Linked DNA regions of Anolis sagrei. The protein of the gene in region 1 interacts with the protein of each later gene in a pairwise test. Links are inferred from orthologs where the notes say so. Each region holds a gene or a part of one and is shown on either strand. Other genes may lie near its edges.

The links.
Region 2: the proteins of GIT1 (region 1) and LAMTOR5 interact in a two-hybrid assay, tested with the Homo sapiens proteins (2 studies listed by BioGRID and IntAct). The link is inferred for Anolis sagrei from reciprocal best matches to the Homo sapiens genes GIT1 and LAMTOR5.
Region 3: the proteins of GIT1 (region 1) and PFDN1 interact in binary tests that used the Homo sapiens proteins (3 or more experiments, as listed by UniProt). The link is inferred for Anolis sagrei from reciprocal best matches to the Homo sapiens genes GIT1 and PFDN1.
Region 4: the proteins of GIT1 (region 1) and PPFIA4 interact in a two-hybrid assay, tested with the Homo sapiens proteins (2 studies listed by BioGRID). The link is inferred for Anolis sagrei from reciprocal best matches to the Homo sapiens genes GIT1 and PPFIA4.

Annotation. Positions count from the first base shown.
Region 1 is NC_090031.1:33,986,892-33,993,894, reverse strand, and holds the start of GIT1 (ARF GTPase-activating protein GIT1), read right to left. Parts: upstream 3,003-7,003; 5' UTR 2,756-3,002; coding exon 2,704-2,755; intron 1-2,703. UniProt on the Homo sapiens protein: GTPase-activating protein for ADP ribosylation factor family members, including ARF1.
Region 2 is NC_090024.1:183,624,872-183,632,020, forward strand, and holds the start of LAMTOR5 (ragulator complex protein LAMTOR5), read left to right. Parts: upstream 1-4,145; 5' UTR 4,146-4,226; coding exon 4,227-4,261; intron 4,262-5,778; coding exon 5,779-5,840; intron 5,841-5,938; coding exon 5,939-6,056; intron 6,057-7,149. UniProt on the Homo sapiens protein: As part of the Ragulator complex it is involved in amino acid sensing and activation of mTORC1, a signaling complex promoting cell growth in response to growth factors, energy levels, and amino acids.
Region 3 is NC_090024.1:136,883,170-136,890,120, forward strand, and holds the start of PFDN1 (prefoldin subunit 1), read left to right. Parts: upstream 1-3,927; 5' UTR 3,928-4,002; coding exon 4,003-4,035; intron 4,036-6,951. UniProt on the Homo sapiens protein: Binds specifically to cytosolic chaperonin (c-CPN) and transfers target proteins to it. Binds to nascent polypeptide chain and promotes folding in an environment in which there are many competing pathways for nonnative proteins.
Region 4 is NC_090024.1:206,155,953-206,163,459, reverse strand, and holds the start of PPFIA4 (liprin-alpha-4), read left to right. Parts: upstream 1-4,488; 5' UTR 4,489-4,595; exon of another isoform or gene 4,596-4,634; intron 4,635-7,507. UniProt on the Homo sapiens protein: May regulate the disassembly of focal adhesions. May localize receptor-like tyrosine phosphatases type 2A at specific sites on the plasma membrane, possibly regulating their interaction with the extracellular environment and their association with substrates.

The DNA.
Region 1 (7,003 bases):
ATAGTAATAGTAATAATACATTAATATGGACGTATAATAATGTATATTATTATTATTATACCTTAACATTATGAAGTTCCCATATAATAATAGTAATAATACATTAGTACGGATGCATAATAATGTATATTATTGTTATATGAAGTTCCCATATAATAATAGCAATAATACATTAGTATGGACGTATAATGAAGTATATTATTATTATTATTATACCTTAACATTATGGCATTCTCATATAATAATACATTACTATGGATGTATAATAATGTATATTATTATTATTATACCTTAAAATTATGGCATTCCCATATAATAATAGTACTAGTACATTAATATGGACATATAATAATGTATATTATTGTTATACCTTAACATTATGAAGCTCCCATACAATAATACATTAGTATGGATGTAGAATAATGTATATTATTGTTATATGAAGCTCCTATATTATAATAGTAATAGTACATGCGTATAGACATATAATAATGTATATTATTGTTATATGAAGTTCCCATATAATAATAGTAATAGTACATTAGTATGGATGTAGAATAATGTATATTATTGTTATACCTGAATATTATCAAGTTCCCATATAATAATAGTAATAATACTTTAGTGTGCATGTATTATATATATATATATATATATATATATATAAATACCTTAACATTATGAAATTCCCATATAATAATAGTAATAATACACTAATATGGATGTATAATAATGTATATTATACCTTAACATTATGATGTTTACATGCAATAACAGTAATAATACATTAGTATGGACGTATAATAATGTATATTATTATTATACCTTAACATTATGAAGTTCCCATATAATAATAGCAATAATACATTAGTATAGACGTATAATAATGTATATTATTATTATTATTATACCTTAACATTATGAAGTTTGCATATAACAATAGTATTAATATATTAATATGGATGTATAACAATGTATATTATTGTTATACCTGAATATTACGAAGTTCCCATATAATAATAGTAATAATACATTAGTATGGACATATAATAATGTATATTATTATTATTATTATACCTTAACATTATGTTCGCATATAACAATAGTATTAATATATTAATATGGATGTATAACAATGTATATTATTGTTATACCTGAATATTATGAAGTTCCCATATAATAATAGTAATAATACATTAGTATGGACATATAATAATGTATATTATTGTTATACCTGAATATTATCAAGTTCCCATATAATAATGGTAATAGTATATTAGTATGGGCGTATACTTTTACATGGATATGATTCTGCTTCTATAGAATAATGAAAATAATGCCTAGATATGAATTGTAATCCCATTTAAAACCAAAAAGCAGAGGCCCTCCTCCAGGACAGAGGCCCAAAAGCCAATGGTCCCTCCATGGGAGGAAGGGTGTCTCCACCCACTCATCTGGGAAGGAAAGGAGGAAGGAGAGTCCTGCATATGGATGTGTAATAAATAATAATGATGGTAATTACAGATTATTATACATTAATAATGCATAAGGGAGGGGAGAGAGGTGCAGATGGGAAGGAAGGAAGGGGTGGAAGGATAGGAATGGAGGAAGGGGAGGGAAGGAAGAGGAAGGAAAGGAAGGGAGGGAAGGAAGGAAGGAGAAGGAGGGAAGTATTGGAAGGAAGGCAGGAAAATGAATGGAGGGATGGAAGGGAAGAAGGAAGAAAAGAAATGGAAGGAAGGAAGAATGGAAGGATGGGACAGAAGGGATAGAAGAAAAGGAAGGAAGGAAATGAATGGAGGGATGGAAGGAAAGGGAAAAGAGGGAAGAAGAAAGGAAGGAGATAGGGAGGAAGGGAGGGGAAGGGAAGGAGGGAAGGGGGAGAGAGAGAGGGAAAGATGGGAGGGAAGAGAGGAAGGAAGGAAAAAGGGGATGGAGGGAAAGGACGGAAGGTAGGGAGGGAGGAAAGAGATGGGAATGAAGGAAGGGGGGAGAGAGAGAGAGATGGGAAAGAAGGGAGGGAAGGAAGGAAGGGAAAGAGTGAAGAGAGAGAGAAAGATGGGAAGGGAGGGAGGGAGGGAGGGAGGAAAAAAGGGAAGGAAACAAGGGACAGAAGATAGGGAGGGAAAAGGAGAGAGATGGGATGGAAGGAAGGGAAGGAGAAAGAGATGGGAAGGAAGGAAGGAAGGAAGGAAGGGAGAGAGAGAGAGATGGGAAGGAAGGGAGGGAAGGGAGGGAAGGAAGGAAAGGAAAGAGTGAAGAGAGAGAGAGATGGGAAGGAAAGAAGGGAGGGAGGGAGGGAGGGAGGGAGGGAGGGAAGGAAGGAAGGAAGGAAGGAAGGGAAAGGAAAGGAAAGGAAAGAGGGGAGAGAGAAATGGGAGGGAAGGAAGGAAGGAAGGAAGGAAAGGAAAGAAGGGAGAGAGGGGGGGAAGAGAGATGGGAGGGAAGGAAGGAATGGAAGGAAGGTAGGGACGGAAGGAAGGGAAGGGAGTGAGATGGGATGGAAGGAAGGGCAGGGAAGGAAGGAGGGAGGTGTGTTGTGTTGGCCCCGGGTGTCCCTTCCTGGCCCACTTCCTGCCCAAAGGAGGGGAGGGGCCCAGAGGGAGGGGTCCCCGCCCCATTCTCCCTTCCCTGCCGAGGCCTCAGTACCTGCCTGGGAAGGGAAAGAAGGAAGGAAGGGAGGGAAGGAGGAGAGAGGCTCACCTGGGGCGCTGCAGTCGGCGCAGACCTCGGCCCGGGGCACCTTCCGCGACATCCTGTGCCGCAGCCAGGAAGGGAAGAGAGGAAGGAGAAGAGGAAGAGGAGGAGGCCCACCTCCCTCCTCCCCCTGAAAAGCAAGGGAAGGGAAGAAGGGAAGGATGCAGAGAGGGGAAGCCCTGGGCCGGCCCTCGGAGAAGAAGAGGAGGAGGAGGAGCGGAGGAGGGAAGGGAAAGGAGGAGGAGGAGGAGGAAAAGGAGGAGGAGAGGGAGGAGAGCGCGACCCCGGCGTCGGGCGGAGCCAAAAGAGGGGCGGCCTCTGCTGCAGGGCAGGATCTGGCCGCCCCTTCCCCCTCCTCCCCTCCCTCCTTCCTTCTTTCCTTCCTTCCAGGCTCCATCTCTCTCTCTCTCTCTCTCTCTCACCCTTCTCTTTCCTTCCTTCCTTCCTTCCTGAGATCCCTGTCTCCTCCAACCTTGCTACTTCCTAGCTCTCCTCTGGCTACTGTTACCCATCGCCATGCCCAGATCCGGTTTGCAGGGTGCATTCTCATTCCTTTGGCACACATTGGAAGACTGGTGGGATTTGGGGGGTGGGGGTGGGATGTATAGTTCACCTGCAGTCAACGCGCATTCTGAACCCCACCGATGATAGAATTGGGCCAGACTTCTCACACAGAAGGCCCCTAACTTGAAGGGACTCGCCTCCCTCCAGCTTGGCACGCTCTCCCTCGCCCCACACAAGTACACCTGCTCCCCCCTTGGAATCTCCCCTTCCATCCATCCCTTCCTTCCCTCCCTCCCTCCTTTCTCTTCCTCCATTCCCCTTGGAGTCTCCCCTTCCATCCCTCCTTTCCTTTCTTCCCTCCCTCCCTCCTTTCCTCCCTTCCCCTTGGAGTCTCCCTTTCCATCCCTCCCTCTTTCCCTCCTTCCCTTCCTTCCTTCCGTCCTTCCTTCCCCTTGGACTCTCCCCTTCCATTCCTTCCTTCCTTCCTTCCTTCCATCAATCCCTTCCTTCCTTCCCCTTGGAGTCTCCCCTTCCATCTCTCCCTCCCTCCCTTCGTTCCATTCCTTCCTTCCTTCCGTCCTTCCTTCCTTCCTTCCATCCCTTCCTTCCTTCCCCTTGGAGTCTCCCCTTCCATCCCTCCCTCCCGTCCGTTCCATTCCTTCCGTCCTTCCTTCCTTCCATCCCTTCCTTCCTTCCTTCCCCTTGGAGTCTCCCCTTCCATCCCTCCCTCCCGTCCTTCGTTCCATTCCTTCCGTCCTTCCGTCCTTCCTTCCTTCCTTCCTTCCCCTTGGAGTCTCCCCTTCCATCCCTCCCTCCCGTCCTTCGTTCCATTCCTTCCTTCCATCCTTCCTTCCTTCCTTCCTTCCTTCCTTCCTTCCTTCCTTCCTTCCTTCCCCTTGGAGTCTCCCCTTCCATCCCTCCCTCCCGTCCTTCGTTCCATTCCTTCCGTCCTTCCTTCCTTCCTTCCATCCTTCCTTCCTTCCTTCCTTCCCCTTGGAGTCTCCCCTTCCATCCCTCCCTCCCGTCCTTCGTTCCATTCCTTCCGTCCTTCCTTCCTTCCTTCCATCCTTCCTTCCTTCCCCTTGGAGTCTCCCCTTCCATCCCTCCCTCCCTCCCTTCCTTCTTTCCATCCCTTCCTTCCTTCCCCTTGGAGTCTCCCCTTCCATGCCTTCCTTCCTTCCCCTTTGGAGACTCAGATGCAGCCCTCCCAGGCCAGACTAGATGCCCTTCAGGGTTCCCTCTCAGGACCCTTTTCTTTCCAATGGGGTGAGCTTAGGCCTAGGTGAGCCTTGTCACCCCAAGCCTTGTTGCAGGGAGACAGAGAGAGGAGTCAGGGATGCTCCAGAGATGGAGAGCCTTCCTCTTTCTTCCTTTCCTTCCCTACATCTCCACTAAAGCTTGGACAGGATCCTTTTAGAGGAAGCAGGGCAGACTAGGTGCCCTTGAGGAGTCCCTATCAGGACCCTTTCCTTTCCTCTAGCTTGGGCCTAGATGCCCCTTTTCACTCCAAGCCTTGTCGTGAGAGATGAGGGAGAGGCAGCAGAGATACTCTGGAGATGGAGAGCCTCCCTCTTTCTTTCTTTCCTTCCTTGCATCATCAAAGTCTGGATGGGAACCTTTCAAAGGAAGCATGTCAGTCTAAATGCCCTTTACGGTTCCCTCTCATGGTGTTTCCTTTCCAAGGGGGTGAGCTTAGGCCTAGGTGGCCCTTGTCACTCCAAGCGTTTTTGCAGAGAGACGAGGAGAGAGGAGTCAGAGATATTCCAGAGATGGAGAGCCTTCCTCTTGCTTTCTTTCCTTCCTTTCATCTCCACCAGAGCATGGATGTGAATAAAGCAGGCCAGACTAGATGCCCTTCAGGGTTCCCTCTCAGGATCCTTTCTTTTCCAATGGGGTGAGCTTAGGCCTAGGTGACCCTCTTCACTCCAACCCCTTTTGCAGAGAGATGGAGGAGAGAGGAGTCAGGGATGCTTTAGAGATGGAGAGCCTTCCTCTTTCTTTCCTTCCATGCATCTCCACCAAAGTCTCAATGGGAACCTTTCAGAGGCAGCATGTCAGTCTAGATGCCCTTTGTGGTTCCCTCTCAGGACCCTTTCCTTTCACCTAGCTTGGGCCTAGATGCCCCTCTTCACCCCAAGCCCTTTTTTTGCAGAGAGATTGGAGGAGAGAGAAGTCAGGGATGCTCCAGGGATGGAGACCCTTCCCCTCCTTTCAGTTAAAGCAGGCCAGATTAGATGCCCTTTAGGGTCCCCTCCCATGGTGTTTCCTTTCCCAGATAGTGGGCTTGGGGCTAAATGCCCGTCAGCCCAAGCCTTGCTGCAGAGAGATGGAGGAGAGACCAGAGATGGAGAGCCTTTCTTTCTTTCTTTCTTTCTTTCTTTCTTTCTTTCTTTCCTTACATCTCCACCAAAATCTGGGTGGGAACCTTTAAGAGGAAGCAGGCCAGACTAGATGCCCTTTGTGGTTCCCTCTCATGGTGTTTCCCTTCCAAGGGGGTGGGCTTGGGACTAAATGTCCCTCTTCACTCCAAGCCTTGTTGCAGGGAGATGGAGGAGAGAAGTAAGGGAAGGAGAGCCTTCTCCTTCCTTCCTCCCTTCCTTCTTTCCTTCTCTACCAAAGCTTGGATGTGAATGAAGCAGGCCAGACCAGATGCCCTTTGAGTTCTGGATGGGAACCTTTCAGAGGAAGCAGGAACAACTACATGTCCTTTGTGGTTCCCTCTCATGGTGTTTCCTTTCCATTGGGGGGAGCTTAGGCCTAGGTGACCCTTGTCACTCCAAGCCTTTTTTGCAGAGAGGTATAGAGAGGAGTCTTGGATGCTCCAGAGATGGAGAGCCTTCCTTCCTTCCATCTCCACCAAATCTTGGATGTGAATAAAGCAGGCCAAACTAGATGCCCTTCAGGGTTCCCTCTCATGGAGTTTTCTTTCCAAGGGGGTGGGCTTGGGACTAAATGTCCCTCTTCAGTCCAAGCCTTGCTGCAGAGAGATGGAGGAGAGGGGTGTCAGGGATGCTCCAGAGATGGAGGGCATTCCTCTCTCTTTCCTTCCATGCATCTCCACCAAAGATTGGATGTGAATGAAGCAGGCCAGGCTAGATACCCTTCAGGGTTCCCTTCTCATGGTGTTTCCTTTCCAAGGGGGTGGGCTTGGGACTAAATGTCCCTCTTCAAGCCTGCTTGCAAAGAGATGGAGGCGAGAGGACTCATGGATGCTCCGGAGATGGATAGATAGCCTTTCTTTCATCTCCACCAAAGCTTGGGTGAGAATAGCAAGCCAGACTAGATGTCCTTTGGTGTTCCTTCTCATGGTGTTTCATTTCCAAAGGGGTGGGCTTGGGACTCAATGTCCCTCTTCACTCCAAGATAGAGGAGAGAGGAGTCAAGAATGCTCCAGGGATGCTCATTCTTTCCTTCCTTATATCTCCACCAAAGCTTGGATGGGATCCAAAGGGCAGACTAGATGCCCTTCAGGGTTCCCTGTCACGGTGTTTCCTTTCCAAGGGGGTGGGCTTAAGACTAAATGACCCCCTTCACTCCAAGCCTTGTTGAAGAGAGATGGAGGAGTCAAGGATGCTTTAGAGATGGATAGATTGCCTTCCTCTGTCTTTCTTTCTTTCCTCCCTTCCTTCCTTCCATCTCCACCAGTTTGGATATGAATAAGCATTCCAGACTAGATGCCCTTTGGAGTTCCCTCTCACGGTGTTTCCTTTCCAAGGGAGTGGGCTTGGGACTAAATGTCCCTCTTCAGTCCAAGCCTTGTTGCAGAGAGATGGAGGAGAGACCAGAGATGGAGAGCCTTCCC
Region 2 (7,149 bases), on another chromosome or scaffold:
ATTCTACAAGTTGCCTCCAGCTCTAGCATTTGTGATCCCTGTCCGCCTGAAATGATGATGGAAATTTCTCCCTTGTTCATAGCTCTAGATCTACAAAACGACAAATCTTTATTTTCTCCAAGTAATTAGGAGCAGTTCTCGCTTTGGCTCTGCATTGCTATGACAGATGGGGCCGTGTGCATCTCGCATCTCTATGAGTCATTGGAAGTACCAAGAGAGACATCATTCCTTTTCTCCTGACGGCCTCATTGGGGAAAGAGTGCTGATGTGCCGAAATGGACGTGGCATTTGATTTAAAGGTGCAGCATCCAGCACTCCATTCCAATCATCACATATGGCTCTAAGAGCCAGAAAGATGGGTCTGTACCAAAGTACGTGTTGGAATCTAGTTTTGGAAGTTTGTCAAATATTTTTCAAAGAAGGTGGGGGGGGGGGGCAGTATGTACAAAATAAGAAAATGAGAGTAAATGCACACAACTGATTAGATGCCCACATTCCTGACACAAGTAGAAAATATGTGTTTTTAAAAACATACAAAGATTATTATATCATAGTGATAATTATATCATAAAATCTGAAACAATCAGACAATTTAAGATATAAAGCTCCTTACTCATTTGGGGATGGAACTATGAATTTCAAAAATTATATGAATATGCTGTTCCTTTTGTACCTGCTCATAAATGAGGCAAAGGGATCCTGAATGATATAACATGTTCTAATGACTGAAACCCCATCTACATTAACTTATGATAAAGTTTCAAACTGTATTGTATGGCAGTGTAGATGGGACCACTGTTCTCAAATTACACTATGTAACAAAATTTGAGAAATTTTCTGTTCCTGGCTTGAAAGTGCTATTTCCTGTTTAATTGTGCAGTATTTACATTGAAAGTAGTTGTTATACTCCGGAAACTATGTTGAATTGGTTGAGACTTGATACAGAACCATAGAATCCTTGAACTGGAAGAGACCTCATGGGCCATCCAGTCCAACCCCCTGCCAAGAAGCAGGAAAATAGCATTCAAAGCACACCTGACAGATAGCCATCCAGCCTCTGTTTAAAAGCCTCCAAAGAAGGAGCCTCCACCACACTCTGGGGCAGAGAGTTCCACTGCTGAACAGCTCTTCAATCATTGAAAAACTACAGCAAATGTGCTGCAGGATGACCTGCCAAAACAAAGTTTTTGCAGTTTAATAAACCTTTTCCATTTTTTATGATAGAACCAATTAAGAAATGACATTTATAACCCAGGTACAAAGTGTTATCAAAGCAATTCCTAATTCAAGCTGGAACTGCACTTTTTGGAAGACGAGTTGAGTATTCCGCATTCTTTATTTATTTCATGTCAAAAGAATTGCATAACTAAGTATAAAACTGATAAAAACAGAGGGTACACAAGTGGTTAAATAATTTTTGACCAAAAACAGGCAACAGCGACCACATTGCCTGTAGCTTTAAACAATTCTTCCTCTGTGCATGTGACAGGGCATTGTGGACAAGCATACAGATGCAGAGTCGTTTGTTCTGTTCCAGTCACACAAGGTGGATTCTTCTAGGCCAGTGGTTCTCAACTTTCCTAATGCCACGACCCCTTAGTACAGTTCCTCATGTTTTGGTGACCCCCAATCATAAAATTAATTTTGTTGCCACTTCACAACTGTAATTTTGCTATTATTATGAATTATACTGTAAATATCTGATATGCAGAATATATTTCCATTCATTAGACCAAATTTAGCACAAATACCCAATACACCCAAATTTTAGTATGGGTGAGGGGAGGTTGGAAGGGATTGATTTTGTCATTTGGGAGTTGTAGTCACTGGGATTTGTAGTTCACCCACAATCAAAGAGCATTCTGAACTCCATCAATGATGGAATTGAACCAAATTTGGCACACACAAGTCCCATGACCAGCAGAAAATGCTGGGTTTGGTGGGCATTGACCTTGAGTTTTGGAGTTGTAGTTCACCTATATCCAGAGAGCACTGTGGATTCAAATAAATGATGAATCTGGACCAAATTTGACACAGATACTCAATATGCCCAAAGGTGAACACTGGTGGAGTTTGGGGAAAATAGACTTTGACATTTGGGAGTTGTAGTTGCTGTGATTTATAGTTCACCTACAAAGAGCATTCTGAACCCCACCGACGATAGAATTGGGCCAAACTTCCTACACAGAACCCCCATGTCCAATGAAAATACTGTGTTTTCTTATGGTATTTGGCGACCCTACTGACACCCCTCGCGACCCCTCAAGGGATCCCGACCCTCAGGTTGAGAAACACTGTTATACGTGGTGCCATTTTGCCAGGTTGTCTTTATATCTGCCTGCCCCATTTCTAAGACTCTTCAGAGACTTCCAAGTTGCCCATTCTTGATTTGCTCCTGGAGGAAGACCCTCGGGGGGGGGGGGGCATCCAGTTGGAATTGCCTGATTTTGAAACCCAGAGGGATACTCTTGCTGTTGCTGGGGAAATGTTAAGAAGAGTGGTGGTTCTCATGAATCCTCTCACTGATTTGAGTCTACTGGAAGGAGGTTGATAGCCATGCAGAGGATGGCTTTCAGTGTTCAACCTCACAGTTAGGAGCAACTTTCCATCGCACATCAGGGGGTGGAGGGGGGGGCAATGTCAGCTAGCTTTTAGAGTTTATCAACAGGTGTAGGTTTAAGATATCCTGTGATTATTCTGCATGTTTTATTCAGTGCTGTATTCACCTGCGTCGCGTATACAGACTTGTGCAAAACTGGGCAGGCATACTCAGCCGATTCTGCGTTCTACATGCTTGGTACCAGAAGTGCTTTGGAGGATGATAATGATTGTGGAATACCTTTAAACATAATGGAACTGAAGACTAAATGCAAATTCCATTTATGTTTCATATATGCCTTATATGCATAGCGCTCTACGTGGGGTTGCCTTTGAAGACTGTTCAGAAACTTCAAATTGTCCAGCGGGCGGCAGCCAGGTTGCTAACTGTAGCAGTGCTCAGGTAGCACACAACTCCTGTTACGCCAACTCCACTGGCTACCAATTTGCTACCGGGCACAATTCAAAGTGCTGGCTTTACCCTATAAAGCCCTAAATTGTTCCAGCCCAGCTTACCTGTCTGAATGTATCTCTCCCTATGAACCATCTAGGAACTTAAGATTGTATGGGGAGGGCCTGCTCTCAATCCTGCCTTCTTTGCCTTTGGCGGGGATGAGGGACAGGGCCTTCTCAGTGGTGGCCCCTCGGCTGTGGATCTCCCTCTCTAGGGATATTAAAACCTAGCTCTTTGAATAAGCCTGGAAGTGCAGTGCAATAGACAAGCACGGAAGTGCAGTGCAATAGACAAACACGGAAACATGGAAAGACTTAGACGATGCTACTGGAGAGTGAGATTAACAGGAAGACATTGGTTATTATATGTTTTTAAAGGTTATTGTATTGATTTTATAATGATGTTTTCAATGTTTTAATTGTATATTGTGGATTGTGATGGCATCGAATTGCTGTCAATTTGTAAGCCGCCTTGAGTCGCCTTCAGGCTTGAGAAAGGTGGAAGAGAAATATCATAAATAAATAAATAATAGCTTGAAATTAATTTCATACACTGTATTTTAAAATAATTTGGGGAACGAAACAAAGTGTGTGCCTATTGAACTCACAGCAGCCATTTCCTTTCCAACACGTTATGCACTTGACAAAGAGTTGTTACTTAAGGGGGCCTCTACACTGTTGAATTAATGCAGTTTGACACCACATTTAACTACCATGGCTATGGAATCCTGGTAGCAGTAGTTTGGTCAAACAGCAGCTCTCTTTGGCAGAGAAAGACCTTGCAAAACTACAATTCCCATAGTTTCATAGCACTGGGCATGCATGGGGTGTCGAACTGCATTAATTCCACAGTGCAGAAGCAGCCTATGTTTGTGGACCACTTTCCTTACACATATAGTAAATACAATGAGAGGGAGATCGTGACAAGAAAAGACCAAAGCTGATCCAGCTTAACAAGAAGAGGAAGAAAAATGCCTTCAATCCGCAAAATGAAGTCTACAAAAACACTCCCCACCTCCCGCTGGGCGGAAATGTTTACTGCGCAGGCGCGTCCGACTCTCGAAGAATTCCGAACCCAACGAGCCGCCGTCCACTCGCTGGCTGGTCACGTGGACACAAGTCAGCTGACAAGGAAGAGCTGGTGTTTTGCGGAAGAGGCTCAGTCGGTCGGCGAGATGGAAGGCGCACTTGAGCACCATTTGGAAGACACGTAAGCCTGGAGTTCGCAGTGCCCATCAGCACTATGGACTGGGGACGGGCATGCCATTCGAGCCCTGCTCCCAGGAAGCTTAGAGTGCATCTTCACTATAGAACTAACGCAGTTTGGGGTCATTCTAACTAACTTTGGTGAGGCACCAGCCCTCTTTGCAGAGAAGGCTAAGAGGCCATGGCAGCTAAAGTGGTGTCAAACTGCATTAATTCTAGTGTAGATCAGGCGTGGGCAAACTTGGGCCCTCCAGGTGTTTTGGACTTCAACTCCCACCATTCCTCACAGCCTCAGGCCCCGTTCTGAAGCGGCTGAGGGGGAAAAGGAAAGGGCCTGAGGCTGTTAGGAATAATGGGAGTTGAAGCCCCATGAGGAGCGGCCTAAAGAGCTGGGCATGTTTAGCCTGCAGAAGAGAAGGCTGAGAGGAGATACGATAGGCATATATAACTATGTGAGAGGAAGTCATAGGAAGGAGAGAGCAAGCTTGTTTTCTGCTGCCCTGGAGACTAGGACATGGAACAATGGATTCAAACTACAAGAAAGTTGGTCCATCTGAACATGAGGAAGAACTTCCTGACTGTGAGAAATATTCAGCAGTGGAACTCTCTGCCACAGAGTGTGGTGGGGGCTTCTTCGTTGGAGGCTTTGAAACAGAGTCTGGATGGCCATCTGTCGGAGGTGCTTTGAATGAAATATTCCTGCTTCTTGGCAGGGGGTAGGCTGGATGGCTCATGAGGTCTCTTCCAATTCTATGATTCTAAGTCCAAAACACCTGGAGGACCCATGTTTGTCCATGCCTATGCTAAAGGAGCCCACCCTCATGTCCTGCTGTATCCTCTTGTATGATTCATGCGGAGATGAGCATGCTAACCTCTTCTCCATAGAAGTGGATGGAGGAGGGACAGACTTCATAGCTATTACAGCTCAAAATCAGGGTACAGCCGACTGGCTGCTCTCTGTATCAAGAAGCCCAGACTCTCTGCACAGGATGCATGCAGACAGGGAGGGGGTTACATCAGCTTGCCATGTGGGAGCCACTCCACGCTCTGCCCCCCCCCCCCCCACCAGTTTGCACACACCACCGCCGTGGAAAATTACACAACCTGCCAATAGGGAGCCCCACACACTGCAAGGAACAATTTCGCGAGGTGCATCAACACTCTGGACTGGATGCAGCTTGACACTACGTTTCCTGCTATGGGATCTTGGGAGTTGAAGTTTGGCAGGGCTTGTAGACAACATTAAAGCATGGCAGTGGATGCGGTGTCAAAACAGTGGATGCACTCCAGCAGCAAGGAATGGGAGGAACGGTGCGAGTTGAAGTCCAAAAGTCCAAAACACCTAGAGAGACCAAGTTTGCCCGTGCCTGGTGTAGATGTAGCCCAACAATCAGGCACTATACCACACTATCACTCTCCTCTAGGGACCAATTCTTATTATATGCTTATTATTGTTGCTTTTTCGTTGTTCTGTCCCACCTGCTGGATGTTTCTGATCCCTTCTGTCTCCTCCTTTCCTAGAATGAAGAATCCCTCCATTGCAGGAGTCCTGTGCACTGATTCCCAGGGACTGAATCTGGGCTGTAAGTATTTTGGAAACTCTCTTTCAGTCCAAGTGAACTGTCCTGTATTTTTAAAACTAATTTATTTTCCTTTTCAACTATCGATCATTACCTTCTAGGTCGTGGCACTCTCTCAGATGAACATGCAGGTGTGATATCGGTTCTAGCCCAGCAGGCAGCCAAATTAACAAATGATCCCACAGATATCCCTGTAGTGTGCCTTGAGTCAGATACTGGGTAAGTGTGCTCTGTTACTTACCTACTTCACCTCATTGCATAAATTTGTTGGAACTCAGCCAAGTCCTGCACAGGTTTATAGTCCTCATCAAGTTAATAAGATAGGTAGATGAGTTAGCAGGCAGGGAAAGCTCTTCCCCCATTGCTTTGTCTTCCCCTCTCTCTCGTTTTCTCCTATTAGTTTGTTAGACTGATGCTTCTCAGGGACACACCTCTTTTTATTCAAAGTTTCTAGCCACATGCAAGCCCCCCCCCCCCCTCCAAGTCCTCCAATTTTTTTCTTCTGTCAGCATGAAGAGAGACAAGATGCATGCAGAGATAGGTAAGTTAGATAGCTAGGCCCTAACTTTACTATATAGAAATGTAGTTCTTTGAAATGTAGTTCTTTTATAACTTGACTCTCTTCCTGTATTTATGAAACTCATTTTCCCTACAGCTATGCACAAGAAGCTTCTGATCTGCTAAAAACTACTGCTGTTGCTTTACCATTGCATATGCTTTTTCATTTTTGAAATTACCCAACAAAATTACTTTCTGATGGATTGATATGTGTAACCTGGTAAACATTTGCTGCTCTTTAGCTTTCATGTCACACACAAGGAACAATTTCTGCATCTGGTCTTTGTTTCTTAGAGACATAGGACATCAGATTATTTTAGCTGAGTGCTTCCATCAGCCCCACAGAGCATGGAAATTATTATTTTTCCTTTTTTTTACATGTTAGGAGCAACTTGAGAAACTTCTGGTGTGAGAGAATTGGCTGTCTGCAAGGACATTGTCCAGGGGACGCCCTGGTGTTTTGATGTTTTACCATCCTTGTGGGAGGTTTCTCTCATCATTAATGAAGTTTAACAAAGATGTTGCTCTCCATCATATACTTACTTGAGCATGCTATGGATGTAGGTTGGTAGGGTACAATCTTTCTAAATAAAGGAACCTTATGGTTTTTAACTTTTAATATGTTTTAATGGTTTTTAACTGGGAATTTTTAATATTGTTTATATTTAATCCTGTTTTAATTTTTGCACATTGGTATATTTTAAATTGTATGCTAATGCTCTACATTGAGCAGCTTTGAGACTCCTTTAGGAGA
Region 3 (6,951 bases), on another chromosome or scaffold:
GAGATGCCAATGCACAACAAACATATAGCAGAGTTTCAGAAATGTTCTCTTCAGTTGCCCCAAAACATCTATCTACTCTCTCTTAAAGCGGACAAGAGCAAAGCAGGCAGCAGTCTCCTAAAGTGGACAGACCATGAGGCACGGAGACACAGAGGTTGCCTCTTTAAGCCCCAAAGCCCTATACTCCTGCGCTAGTGCTCCCTCTGATGCTAGCTCTTAATTCAAAACACTGCTCTTATATCAAAGTGAAACCCGGTCTGAGAAAAATACTCTCAAATTGGGATGCTCTTAACTAGAAATCACACTGTGTTTGTATTGCTAGAACATTAGTGCTAATTTTGTAAGTTGCTATAGAGCAGTGGTTCCCAACATTTGCTCCTCCAGAAGTTTTGCACTTTGGCAGCCAGAATTTGTAACAGTTGGACAAGCTGTCAGGGGATTCTGGGAGTTGAAGTCCCAAACATCCGGAGGACCAAGCGTTGGAAACCACTGCTACAGAGGTATCACGGTGTCCAATTCCACATTCTTTTTCTAATTTGTCTCCAGATGTCTCGCTCATGAGTCTACACATGTTCTCCTCCTGTTTCTCCCACAATGGCTCACTGTGATTTTTCCCCCCACTTGAGGTTTTGTGCAAAAGTGGCAAATCTTTACTTTGCTATTGCTACATCTGCGTCTGTGCAACATCTCCACTCCTCAAGAAATCTATCTGCCCTCTGTGTGCATTGATGCTCTGGGGAGACCAACCACAGAGGAACGAAGGAACACTCGTACGTGTTTGTAGAATGATCTTGCTCCAAGGATGCATGTTACCCTTGCACAATACCTCAAAAGAAAAATGTATTATGGGGCACTGGGGGTAGACTGCCATAGGTGAAGATAACAGAGGAGTCTGGAACAACATCCTTCTGATGTCAAACATGAATTTGGAAGGCCCTACCTAGACAGAGACCGGCCAGACCCAAAAAGAGGATCCGGAACACCTGATAAGACAGCAAGCACCAAGAAAGATTTTTCCTTCAATTTTCCAAAATAAAATCTCACCAAGTTGAAGCAAAAGCCACCAAAGTTTTATTTCATTCCAGCTGGAAGTGATCATGACTGCAGTTATCTGCCCAAGGAGCTGACATGCTGGATGGGCAGAAAAAACAATATTTATAGGGCTGTCAGATTCAAAAATTCCCATGCCCACCCCCACCCCCCTGAACTGGCTTCATTGTGATTGGCTGTGACGTCAGCAAGCCAGCAGGAGATCCAATGAGAGCCCGACCACTGCTTTGGCCGCTCAGCCAATGAGGTGGAAGGAGATGGGCAAATGGGAAACAATGAAAAGAATGCCATGATGATGGGTTATGAATGGCACTTTCTGCGCCTGTATTGATAAAGGGGCCAAAGTGATAGCTTAAGCCCTCAAACTTCAGCCCAGGCTATTGTCTTGAGTCTTGAAATAACGTCTTCTGTCTAGCTCCAAAGAGCCAGTTCCATCGTCATATTGCTCTGTAAAATTGGCTTGATGATGGGAATTGAAATTCCTTTTTGGAGATGGAGAAATGGCACAGTGGGGAGGCGGTGACAATCCCTGGTTCCTTGCAGTTGGGAAATGTATGGTTGGGTGATTCTGTATGTCCATAAGTCCCATTGTCCTGGATGGTCTAGCCAACAAGGCCCTCCGAAGTCCAGGAAAAGGGCCCATTTACTTATTGTCCATGCAAATGAGTTTCTGTCAAGACCTTTGTTAATGGGATTATTGGCTCAGGAAGTTTGAAAACTCCTGAGCCCTGGGTTGGTGGCAAAGCTCATGAAAGGGTTACCTTGCTTCATATTTTATATAGACATACTTACTTACTTAGGCGATCCCTTGTTGCCCAAGTAGGATAGTCTTCCAAGATGGGTGTACTGGTGGGTCCATAGGTGACTGTGGAGCCCTATTCTTGATCTGCATCTTCTCCCGCAGTGAGGGCATTGGTTTCCAGGTGGAAGGCGGTCTCAGTCAGGGTTAGCTTGACAGACTACTGGTCACAGCTGATCTCCAGCTAGAGCGCTCAAGGGCCAGGGCTTCCCAGTTCTCAGTGTCTACGCCAGAATTTTTAAGGTTGGCTTTGAGCCCATCTTTAAATGTCTTTTCCTGCCCACCAACATTCCATTTTCTGTTCTTGAGTTCGGAGTAGAGCAACTGCTTTGGGAGACGGTGGTTGGGCATCCGGACAACGTGGCCGGTCCAGCAGAGTTGATGGCGGAGGACCATCACTTCAGTGCTGGTGGTCTTTGCTTCTTCCAACATGCTGCCCTTTGTCTGCTTGTCTTCCCAAGAGATTTGCAGGATTTTCCGGAGGCAGCGCTGATGGAATCGTTCCAGGAGTTGCATGTGACGTCTGTAGACAGTCCACATCTCTCAGGCATATAGCAGGATTGGGAGGACAATAGCTTTATAAAGAAGCATCTTGGTATCCCTACGGATGTCTCGGTCCTCAAACACTCTCTGCTTCATTCGGAATAAAACTGCACTTGCAAAGCTCAGGTGGTGTTGTATTTCAGTGTCAATGTTGACTTTGGTGGAGAGGTGGCTGCCAAGGTAGCAGAAATGATCAACATTTTCTAATGTTACAACATTAAGCTGTATTTCTGGCATTGGAGAGGGATTGGAGAGAGAATATAAATATATACATGAAATATTTATAATATTATAATTTGATGCAATATAATACTAATAATAATATAATTATATATTTATATTACATGTAATATTACAATATAATGGTATAGTACAATATAGTAATATTTAATACTGATATTGTACTATGCTAATAATATAATATATTGTATTTATTTATTTATTTATTTACTTTGCTTATATACCGCTGTATCTCAAGCCCGAAGGCGACTCACAGCGGTTCACAAACAGTAAAAAAACAGTAGAAACAGCAGTGGTTCCATACAACATATAACAATTGACTTAACACATTATCCATAAATTACCAAAAGCAATTACAATGCACAATTATTACAAAAAACAACCGTACCCAATCTTCTCATCATCCAAGCGTAGTCCAGGTTCGTCGTCCATTGTTCCATTCCTATGTTTCATTACCAGATTGCACTAAATTACTCAAACGCCTGCACAAACATCCAGGTCTTCAACTTTCTTCGGAATGCCATGAGAGATGGCGCCAGCCTAATGTCTGTAGGAAGGGCGTTCCTTGTAAGCCGCTCTAAGTCCCCTTCAGGGTGAGAAGGGTGGCATAGAAATGTTGCAAATAAATAAATAAATAAATAAATAGGCTGGTGACTGCTGGAAGAGCACTTTGGTTTTCTGATATACAGACATACATACGTATAATGGATGGGGATATGGGGAATATACTGCATTTTATATGGGAAGGGAAAGGCATGCAGGATCAAGGGAAGATTCATCTTGGTCACCCAGAGTTCATGTAAGATGACACAAAGCTCACTGAGCCATTCATAAAACAGGAGTTTTATTCACAAAAAGGGAATCCAATTCATAAATAATAGCCAAATTGATCAGATGCTGGTTTGGGTTACAGGGGCGTTGCCATGTGGGGCCATGGAAAGAGCCTTAGGTTCCACCATGGGGGAGAGATAAGTGATTATTGGATCATTCCAGCCTGGTGTCCTTGGCAAAACTATGAATTCCCTGATTATGAACTCTTTTACAGGGTCCTGGGGGATGAGGGTCATCTCTGATTACACTTCAAGAACTGAGACCAGTGTGGGCCAGACTTGGCTACTTGCAATTTCTTGGATTTTAACTAAGACTGAAGTATGTTTGGGCTATACAGCATCCCCCAGCCCAGGCTGACCTTGAGCTGCTGAATCACCTAGTACCCAAGTATCCCTGTCCAACCTTATCCACAGTACACAGTTCTAGCCTGGATCCCCCTATTGCGCATGCGCAGCGCGGGGCATGTGTACGCGAAGGGGACGCCGTCAGTTGAACGGCTTGCTCAGCGCGCAGGCGCAGTCGTGTTCAAAGCAGGCAAAATGGCGGCGCCCGTGGACCTTGAGCTGAAAAAGGTATGGGGCGGGAGGGGGTGCGGGTGGGGATGGAGAGAGATAAACGAAGCTCAGGCCCAGAGCTGTGTGAGGCCGTTGTCGTCTGAGGCGAGTCTTTTCGGGAGCGGAGTTTCTCAGGGGCTCATGGCAGCACCAGAGGCCCTGTTGGAGCCTTTGCCATAAAGACAAAACGCCTTTTCCTGGAGTGTTTGTACTAGGAAACTATCAGAGCATCGCCTCAGGATGGGGCCGCCTCTCTAGGCCACAGGAAAGCGGTTTGAGTGTTGGGCGAGGGCAGTGGGAGGCAGGTGACACTCTCTCAGCCTCAAAGCCAACCCCCTCTGCTTCAGTTCTGCCTAGAAAACCCGGCATAAACGGCGGCTTAGGCTTTTATCAACATCAGACTATGTCTACTCGTGGGTGCCTGTGCTTTTAAAACCCCTTCCACACAGCTGAATAAAATTCCACATTTTCTGCTTTGGAATATATGGCAGTGTGGACTCAGATAACCAAGGGCCCTTCCACACAGCCCTATATCCCAGAATATCAAGGCAGAAAATCCCACATTATCTAAGTGTGGACTCAGATAACCTAGTTCAAAGCAGATATTGTGGGATTTTCTGCCCAGATATTCTGGGATATAGGGCTGTGTGGAAGGGCCCCTAGTTCAAAGCAGCTCTTGTGGGATTTTCTGCCTTGATATTCTGGATTATATGGCTGTGTGGAATTGCCCACAGATAATAATAATAATAATAATAATAATTAAACTTTATTTGTACCCCGCTAGCATCTCCCGAAGGACTCGATGCGGCTTACAAAGGCCAAAGCCTCAACATAACAACAACAAACAATAACGATGCAAGCAAATTAAAACATAAGCAATAACACAACAAAACATTACACTATTACACAATAAAATCAGGGCCAGGCCAATGATGGGTACAGGTTAAAAGTCCTGGATGTGTGAGGTGGTATGTTGGAGTTCTGGGCAAGTGCAATGTTCAGATAATATTAAACTCTAATAAAGTGCTTCTGGTACAGAGTGTTGGGGATTATCCTATTCTGGAAAGGCACATCGGAATAACCAAGTCTTCAAGTTCTTCCTAAGACTGTGAACGTGGGTGCTAGTCTAATGTTTTTGGGGAGGGTGTTCCAAAGTCGGGTGGCAACCACAGAGAAGGCCCTGTCCCTCGTCCCCACCAAACGCACCTGCGACGCAGGTGGGATCGCGAGCAGGGCCTCTCCGGATGAGCAAAGAGAACGCGTGGGTTCGTAAGCGGAGATGCGGTCACGCAGGTAGGCAGGTCCCAAACCGTTCAGGGCTTTGTAGGTAAGCACCTGCACTTTGAATTGGGCTCGGTAGGTAAACGGCAGCCAATGGAGCTCCTTAAACAGGAGGGTTGACCTCCACAATATCTGCCTTGAACTGGATTATCTGAGTCCACACAGCCATATAATCCAGTTCAATGTGGATTTTATACAGCTGTGTAGAAGAGGCCTTAAGTGGTTCTCTTACCAGTGGTTCTCAACCTGGGGTCCCCAGATGTTTTTGGCCTACAACTCCCAGAAATCCCAGCCAGTTTACCAGCTGTTAGGATTTCTGGGAATTGAAGGCCAAAAACATCTGGGGACTCCAGGTTGAGAAGACCCTTTTTTCACTGCCACATAATCCATATTATCAAAGGAGATCATTAACATTACCTACTTTGAACTGGATTATCTGAGTCTACATTGCCATATAATCCAGTTCAAAGCAGAAAATGTGTGATTTTATTTATCTGTGTAGAAGGGGCCCCAGAAAATCAAGGCAGATAATCCGCAATATCTGCTTTGAACTGGATTATCTGAATCCACACTGCCATATAATTTTATACAGCCAAATGGAAGTTGCCTCAGAACCGGTTCTCCCAGGCCCCTTCTTCACTGCCATCTAATACAGTTTATCAAAGCAGATAATTCACATTACCTACTTTGAACTGGATTATCGGAGTCCACAATGCTATATAATCCAGTTCAGTGTGGATTTCATACAGCTGTGTGGAAAATGTCCCAGATTATCTGGCAGTGTAGACTCGGGGGCCCTTCCACACAGCCATATAACCGAGAATATCAAGGCAGAAAATTCCACAATATTTGTTTTAAACTGGGTTATTTGAGTCCAAACTGCCATATATTCCAGTTCAAAGCAAATAATGTAGAATTTTATTCAGCTAGGTTGAATGGGCTTCATATAATTCCGTTCAAAGCAGATAATCCGGAACCAGATCCTGGAATGCAGGGCAGTGTATATCCATCCTGAAACATTCATAAAATGATAACGTTAACAATGAGTATTCCTAATACTCATTAGAAAGTACACACACAAGCATCATTGGGTATATACACTAGTATATAATATCTATTTGCCATATTTAAAAGATTCAAATGGCCTACCCCGAGCAATTCTGGTCAATGTCCATTCTCAAAATTATATCACTAGGACTACCCCTTAGAACAAAATTCTAGTGAAATCATCAGAACCTTCCCACTTACTAGGCATTGGGTTAGGCCCTTTAATCTCAAAGTCTGTCTATTGTCAAGGCAGAGCTATCTAGAAGCAGATAACATCCAAGCAGAGCCCTTTATGTATGAGTCTCTAACAATCAAGGAAGGGCCCTTCCACACAGCCGTATCACCCAGAATATCAAGGCAGATAATACACAATATCTACTTTGAACTGGATTATCTGAGTCCACACTGCCAAATAATCCAGTTCAATGTGGATTTCATACAGCTGTGTGGAAGGGGCCTTGGTTTTTATTGGTAGTCTCCCATCCAAGTACTAACCAGACCTGATCCTGCTTAGCTCAATTATCAGACGAGATTTTGCCTTTTGTGTATTAAGGAAGCATTACTCACACATACAGTTCATTGAAGAGTCCACTGTTTCTTGTTTAA
Region 4 (7,507 bases), on another chromosome or scaffold:
GTGTGTGGGAAGCGGCGCAGCGGGGCTTGGAGTGGGCATGGTTTCCGCAGAGGGAACGTTGGCCGGAAGGCCATGTGCGCGCGCCAGGGAACTTGCGGCTGGGCGCCAATGCGCATGCTCAGTTGTTTTGCAGTTTTGTAAGTGTGTTGTTGTGTTGTTTTTCATTTTGAGTAGATATGTTTGTACCTTGTGGGTTGTGTTATGGGCACGGGGATTTTAGTTAAGTTTTGTTGGGGGATTTTTGAGTTTTGTTGTTTTGCCGTTTTGTGAGTGTGTTGTTGTGTTGTTTTTCATTTTGAGTAGATATGTTTGTACCTTGTGGGTTGTGTTATGGGCACGGGGATTTTGGTTAAGTTTTGTTGGGGGATTTTTGAGTTTTGTTGTTTTGCCGTTTTGTGAGTGTGTTGTTGTGTTGTTTTTCATTTTGAGTAGATATGTTTGTACCTTGTGGGTTGTGTTATGGGCATGGGAATTTTGGTTAAGTTTCGTTGGGGGGTTTTTGAGTTTTGTTTCCTCGTTGGATGCCCCTAACAAATTTATATATATAGATTATTGGCATAGCACAATATCAGCATTATGTATTACTATATTGTACTATACGATAATATTGTAATACAGTATTATTAGTAATATTACATGTAATATAAAATATGATTATATTGTATTATTATTAGCATTTTTATTTCATATCAAAAGCATTGCATAAATTAGCATAAAACCGATAAAAATAGGAGCGCAGGTGGATAAATATCTTTTGACCAAAAACGGGCAACAGCAATGGCATTATCTGTAGCCTCCAACAATTCTTCCTCTATACATGAGGCAGGGCATAGTGGACAAGCATACAGATGCGGAGTTGTCTGTTCTGCTCCACAGTCACACAAGGTGTGGGATTCTTTTAGGTAGTGCCATTTTGCCAGGTTGTCTTTTGATCTGCCCACTCCACTTCTGAGTCTGTTCAGGGACTTCCAAGTTGCCCATTCTTGGTTTGCCCCTGGAGGAAGACCCTCTCTTGTGGGGGGCCATCCAGTTGGGATTTCCTGGTTTAGCTGCCCAGAGGGATACCCTTGCTGTTGCTGGAGGGATGCCAAGAGGAATGGTAGTTCTCATAAAGCTTTTCCTTTATTTGAGTCTACTGGGAGGAGGCCGGTAGCCATGTAGTGGATGGTTTTACAGTGTTCAACCTTATTTCTCTCACATTTAGCAGCAACTTCCCATTGCACATTGGGGGGGGGGGGGGGGGGAATGCCAGCTAGCTTGTAGAGTTTATCAACAGGTGTAGGTTTAAGACATCCTGTGATTATTCTGCTAGTTTCATTCAATGCTATGTTCACTTGCTTTGCATGAGCAGATCTATGCCAAACAGGACAGGCATACTCGGCAGTTGAGTAAGACAAGGCTAGGGCTGATATTCTTACCAATTTTGGGTCTTCACCCCATGTGCATTATATTGTATTACATTATTATTATTATTTTGTTGTGTCAGAACGACTTGAGAAACTCAAAGTCGCTTCTGGTTTGAGAGAATTGGCCGTCTGCAAGGATGTTGCCCAGGGGATGCCCAGATGTTTTGATGTGTTACCATCCTTGTGAGAGGCTTCTCTCATGTCCCTGCATGGAGAGCTGGAGCTGAGAGAGGGAGCTCATCTGTGCTCTCCCCATATTCGAACCTGTGACCTATCAGTCTTCAGTCTTACCGGCACAGGGATTTAATCCACTGCACCACTGGAGGCTCTGGTATTATATTATAATATTACAAATATTATATGTATATACAATGTATTATATTATTAGCACAGCACAGGAGACAAGGTGGAACTGTCTTCCTAGCCCCCCCTCTCTCTTCACTCTGGCCCAGAGGAGCAGTTGGTGATGGGGGGAGGGGCTCCCAACTGATGACATAGGCCACGGTGGTCCATGCTGTTGTTACATCCCAAATAGACTACTGCAACACACTCTATGTGGGATTGCCTCTGAATACTGCCCAAAAGCTTCAACTAGTCCAACGTTCGGCAGCCTGGCTGCTCACTGGGGCTGGGTACAGGGAGCGCACAACGCCCTTGTTATGTCAGCTCCACTAGCTGCCTATCAGCTTCCGAGCACAATTCAAAATGCTGGCTTTGGCCTATAAAGCCCTTAACAGTTCTGGTCCAGTTTACTTGTCTGAACGTATTTCCCGCTACGATCCACCTAGGGCCCTAAGATCATCTGGGGAGACCCTGCTCATTGTCTCCCCATTGTCACAATTGTGTTTGGCGGGGACAAGGGACAGGGCCTTTTCTGTGGTGGCCCCCCGGCTATGGAACTCCCTCCTGAGCAAAATTACATCTGCTGCATCCCTCTTGACCTTCCGGAAACAAGTAAAATCCTGGCTATTTGATCAGGCCTTTGGAGAATAGGCTGACCTACTGATGTGTTGACTTATTTAGAACTGATGGACTGCCCTTGGATAATGATTTAAATCAGTGACCACTGACTATTTGTTGTCTGTTTTTATATTGTTTATACAGTTTTATATTGTTGTTATTATTACATTGCTGTTAATTGTATATTTATGTTTTGATGTGGGCGCCGCTTTGTTAGCCGTCCTGAGTCCCTCTGCGGAGGTTGAGAAAGGACGGGATATGAAAGCCCTAAATAAAGAAATCCTCTTGACCTGGAACCAAGACTTGATACAACTTTAACTGCCACAGCTCAATGCTATGGAATCCTGGGAGTTGGAATTTTTACAAGGCCTTTAGCCTTCTCTGCCAGAGTGTTAGTTCCTCTCCAAACCACGACCCCTAGGATTCCATAATACTGAGTCCTATCAGTTAAAGTGGTGTCAAGCAGCATCCATTCTGCAGTGAAGACGCACCCGAAGAGGAGGAGGAGGGAGGCCTTCCATAGCTGTGACCCCTCGCATATCGTCTACTACTACCATACATACACAGAAGGAATGGTCGCTCTATTCCGTATGCAGCAGGACTCCTTTTCCATGTAGCGGTTGCTGGTCTAGGGGCTGCTCTCTCCTTCCTCCTCCGCATGGGGAGAGGCGGGGCCTGGGGAGGCTTTAAACCCCAAAGAGGCATTCCAAAGGGAAGGGGAGGGGGTGTGGCGTGGCGTGGCCTGGTCAGGCACACTCGCGGCGATGCAGAAGCAGAAAGCAAAGGCCGGCTTAGGGGCGTGGCCTGGCGCGAAGCGGGTGGGGGTCGAGGCCTGTGAGGCGGAAGAAAGGCGTAGCCTTGCGCGAGGCGTATGACGCTGAAGAGGGGCGGGACCTGGCGCGAGGCTGGAAAGGGGAGGCCTATGAGGCGGGACAGGGGCGTGGCCTGGCGCGAGGCTTTTTTTTTTTTTTTTAGTCAGAAACTGTAAGTCGCTTCTGGTGTGAGAGAATTGGCCGTCTGCAAAGACGTTACCCAGGGGACGCCCGGATTTTTGATGTTTTGCTAGGAAATAAAGCCTGACTGCTCATTGGAGGGAATGATATTAGAGGCCAAGATGAAGTATTTTGGCCACATAATGAGAAGACAGGACAGCTTAGAGAAGACAATGATGCTGGGGGAAATGGAAGGGCAAAGGAAGACGGACCGACCAAGGGCAAGATGGATTAATGGTATCTTTCAAGTGACTGGCTTGACCTTGAAGGAGCTGGGGGTGGTGATGACCGACAGGGAGCTCTGGCGTGGGCTGGTCCATGAGGTCACAAAGAGTTGGAAGTGACTGAGCAAATAAACAACAACAAAACACACATACAAAGCACCTGACTTATACTAACTAATAAGGGACTTCATCTAGGTCCACACCACATCCTTGTGGGAGGCTTCTCTCAGGTCCCTGCATAGGGAGCTGGAGCTGATAGAAGGAGCTCATCTGCGCTCTCGAATCTCTAACCTGTCTTCAGTCCTGAAGGCAGAAGGGTTTAACCCATTGCGCCACCGGGGGCTCCTTATCAAAGCAGATAAGTGTGGGTTTTATTTAGCTGTGTGGAAGCGGCCTCAAATTCGGAAGGAAAGCCGACTCCTGAGGCCCCTTCCAGACAGCTGAACAAAATCCCACACCTCTGAGGATGCTTGCCATAGATGCAGGCGAAACGTCAGGAGAAATGCCTCTAGAACATGGCCATATAGCCCGAAAAAACCCACAAGAACTGAGTGATTCCAGCCATGAAAGCCTTCGACAATACAAAATCCCACGTTATTTGCTCTGAACTGGAACATATGGCAGTGTGGACTCAGATAACCCAGTTCAAAGCAGATAATGTGGGATTTTCTGCCTTGATATTCTGGGCTACATGGCTGTGTGAGGAAGGGCCTTGACAGAGGCACTAACCAAAGGTAATGGCAAGGCTGAGAGGGTGGGGGCGGGGCCTCGCTCGAGGCGTAAGGCGGGAGAGGGGCGTGGCCTCGCGCGAGGCTGTGGAGACTGGGGGCGTGGCCTCGCGCGTGGCTGGGAAAGAGAGGCGGGAGAGGGGCGTGGCCTCGCGCGAGGCTGGGGGCGGTGCCGGGCGCGCGAGAAGGAGGGGCGTGGCCTCGCGCGAGCCACTACACAGCCGCCACTTAGCCGCTGTGCTGTGAGGGAGCCTTTCTCTCCCTTTTCCTTCCACGAAGCCGGCGGTGAGTGGCGGTGTTCATCTGAGGGGCGCCTTCAGGCAGGTCGGTGGGCCTTCCTTTCCCCGCTTGTCCTTGTGCTGAGGGCGACGTGCCCCAGTGGAAGGGGAGGGGGGGAGAACGGTGTGAGGGGACTGTTTGGGGTGAAAGCGGGGAAGGAATGTGAGTGCTGCCGGTTGCTGTACCGTTGTGTGGTGGGAGGGATGGATGAGGATGGCAGGCCAACGCCACAGGCCTCCCTCTCCGCACCTGCCCGTCCTTGCCGCAGCACGTCGGCTCCGAGGGGCAGCTGAGGCCGCGGGTCGGTAGGTAGGCAGGTAGATGCCCGGCGTGGCTCGACCTTTTGTTCTTCGAGGGATGGATGCTGTGCCCCGGAAGCCCGGCAAGGAGGGAAGGAGGGAGGGAGGGGGATGTCTGTGGCGGAGGAGCTCGATGCGGCGGGGGCCTTTGGCTCCTCGCCTTGCTTGGCTTTGCCTGCCTTCTAGATGCTCAAGGAGACCCCAAGAATGGATGATGCCTCCGCGGGAAAGCCAGGCCTGGGATGCATCTGCACTGAAGAATGGAGTCAGGTTGACATCACTTGAACTGCCATGGCTCCATGCTGTGGAAGCCTGAGTGGCTCAGTTTTACCAAATCAGAGTAGCCATTTCTGCCAGGAATAAAAAAAGAGCCGACACTTCACCGAATTACAAATCCCATCATCCCACAGCATTGAGCCAGGGCAGTTAAAGTGGTGCATTGATTCTACACTGCACCCCAAGTCTGAGGGAACTGTGCAGACCAGGCATGTGCAAACTTGGGCCCTTCAGGTGTTTTGGACTCCAATTCCCACCATTCCTAAAAGTCTCAGGCCCCTTCCTTTCCCTCTCAGCCGAAGGGGAAAAGGAAAGGGCCTGAGGCTGTTAGGAATGGTGGGAGTTGGAGTCCAAAACACCTGAAGGGCCCAAGTTTGCCCATGCCTGGTCTGTACCTCGGGCCATGTTTGTGTCACTGAGCATAGCTACTGCCTCTAAATGATAACTTTATTTTTATACCCCACTTCCATCTCCCCGAAGGGACTAAGGGCGGCTTACATGGGGCCAGGCCTAATCAACAGAGTTAAAACGTATCAATTTAGAATGCATAACATCAATTTAAAACAGCAAGATATATAACAAGATATAAAACAAACATCTTAGGAATTGTGGGAGTTGAAGTCCAAAACACCCGGAGGGCTGAACTTTGCCCACGCCTGCTCTACACTGTAGATTGAATGAAGTTGGATACCACTTTAGCTGCTGTAGATCAGTGCTAAGGATCCTGGGAGTTGTCATTTGGGGATACAAGGTTAAGGAATTTGTAGTGCCACAGGTCTCATGCTTCCATAGCATTGAGCCATGGCTTTTTTAAAAAAATGGATTATCACAAACATTTACATATAGTCCGACTCTCTTTGTGGACTAATTTTGTATCCACTGAATGAAAATATTTCATTCAGCATTTGAAAACTGGATTTTCGCAATTACTTACCCTATGCAGTTCACCCTCCTTATAGACAGATTCAGTATAACCTTTAAGGCCCTCAGTTGTTTGGGTCCAGGTTTCTACAGGATTGCCTTCTCCTGTATAATCTGCCTCATACACTGAGGTCTTCTGGGAGATGGTTACGCCAACCATCCAGAACCTGACAGGAAACAGTCACCCAGAGGACCTTTTCATTGGCTGCTCCGAGTCTTTGGAATGACCTGCCAGAAAAGCTCTGACAGCATTCAAGGCAGAACTGAAGACCCATCTCTTCTGGCATGCCTACCCAGTCAATTTACATTCTACCATTACTGTACTTTAATATTTGTATTATGTATTTTATTATATGTATTTTATAGAAATGTGTTCTAATGTATTATTTTATTGTATGTATTATATGTTTTAATGACAAAGAGGCGGGCAATGAATATATTATTATTAACATCCACAGCTTATATATATATATATATATATATAAAAAAATTCAAAAACCAAAGTAATTTTATTTTATACAAGGGATCCCATTTTACTACATTGTTGTATGTAGTGGAACTGTGGGTCCTACAACCAAAGCCTAGTGAGTACCAAGGGTCCACCGTATTATCTTCTCATAATGGTTGGCTTATGTTAGAAATGTGGGAATGTTATTTACTTGTATTTAGACTTAATCATAATTATAATAAAATTCTTGAAATTAAAGTGTCTTTAATGGTAGTAACGACTAATGAGTCTTATTGATGGAAATGACTTCATTCTAAATCTGGATACAACCAACCATGTTTTATGAACTGGCATTTTCCTTGTTTTCAGTGGGTGCTGCAATGTTGCATTGTTGGGGAGGGTTAGATGGCTTTTATGTCTAATTTCATATGTGTACTTCTAAAATGTGAACATCCTATAATGGAAGAAGTCACTGCATATGGTGGCTAAATGCAGCCTTAATTACTTTGCATATGCTAACGAAATGGAAGATGTCTGCTTTTGAAGGTGATAATGTAGGCTTGGAACTACCCTACCCCACCCAGTCCTTGTCCAGAAAATTTTGAAATCAAGCCTAAAATAAAAAGGAACAGATGGGTGAGACAAACGGTTGATAGAAACGTAAGGGGACAACACGACAGTACAGAACAAGAGAAACAGCTGTCATAGCACACCAGTTGCTTAACCACTCTTGTGTTCTCTAAGCATCATGATTGCTTTTATAGCTATATTTATGTATATCCACAGAATAAGGCAGAACAATTGATTGTGAATCATGAGTGAGACCAGTCAATAAAATTGTCTTATGCTTGTAAATATGGCAGGTTTGCTGAAGCTCTTCAGACCAGGTGCTCTGAGTCTTGTTTAAAGTATCTGTTGTCTTCTGTACTTATAAGCCTTGGCAAGCCTTTGAGATGTTTTGAGGCTCTCACTGC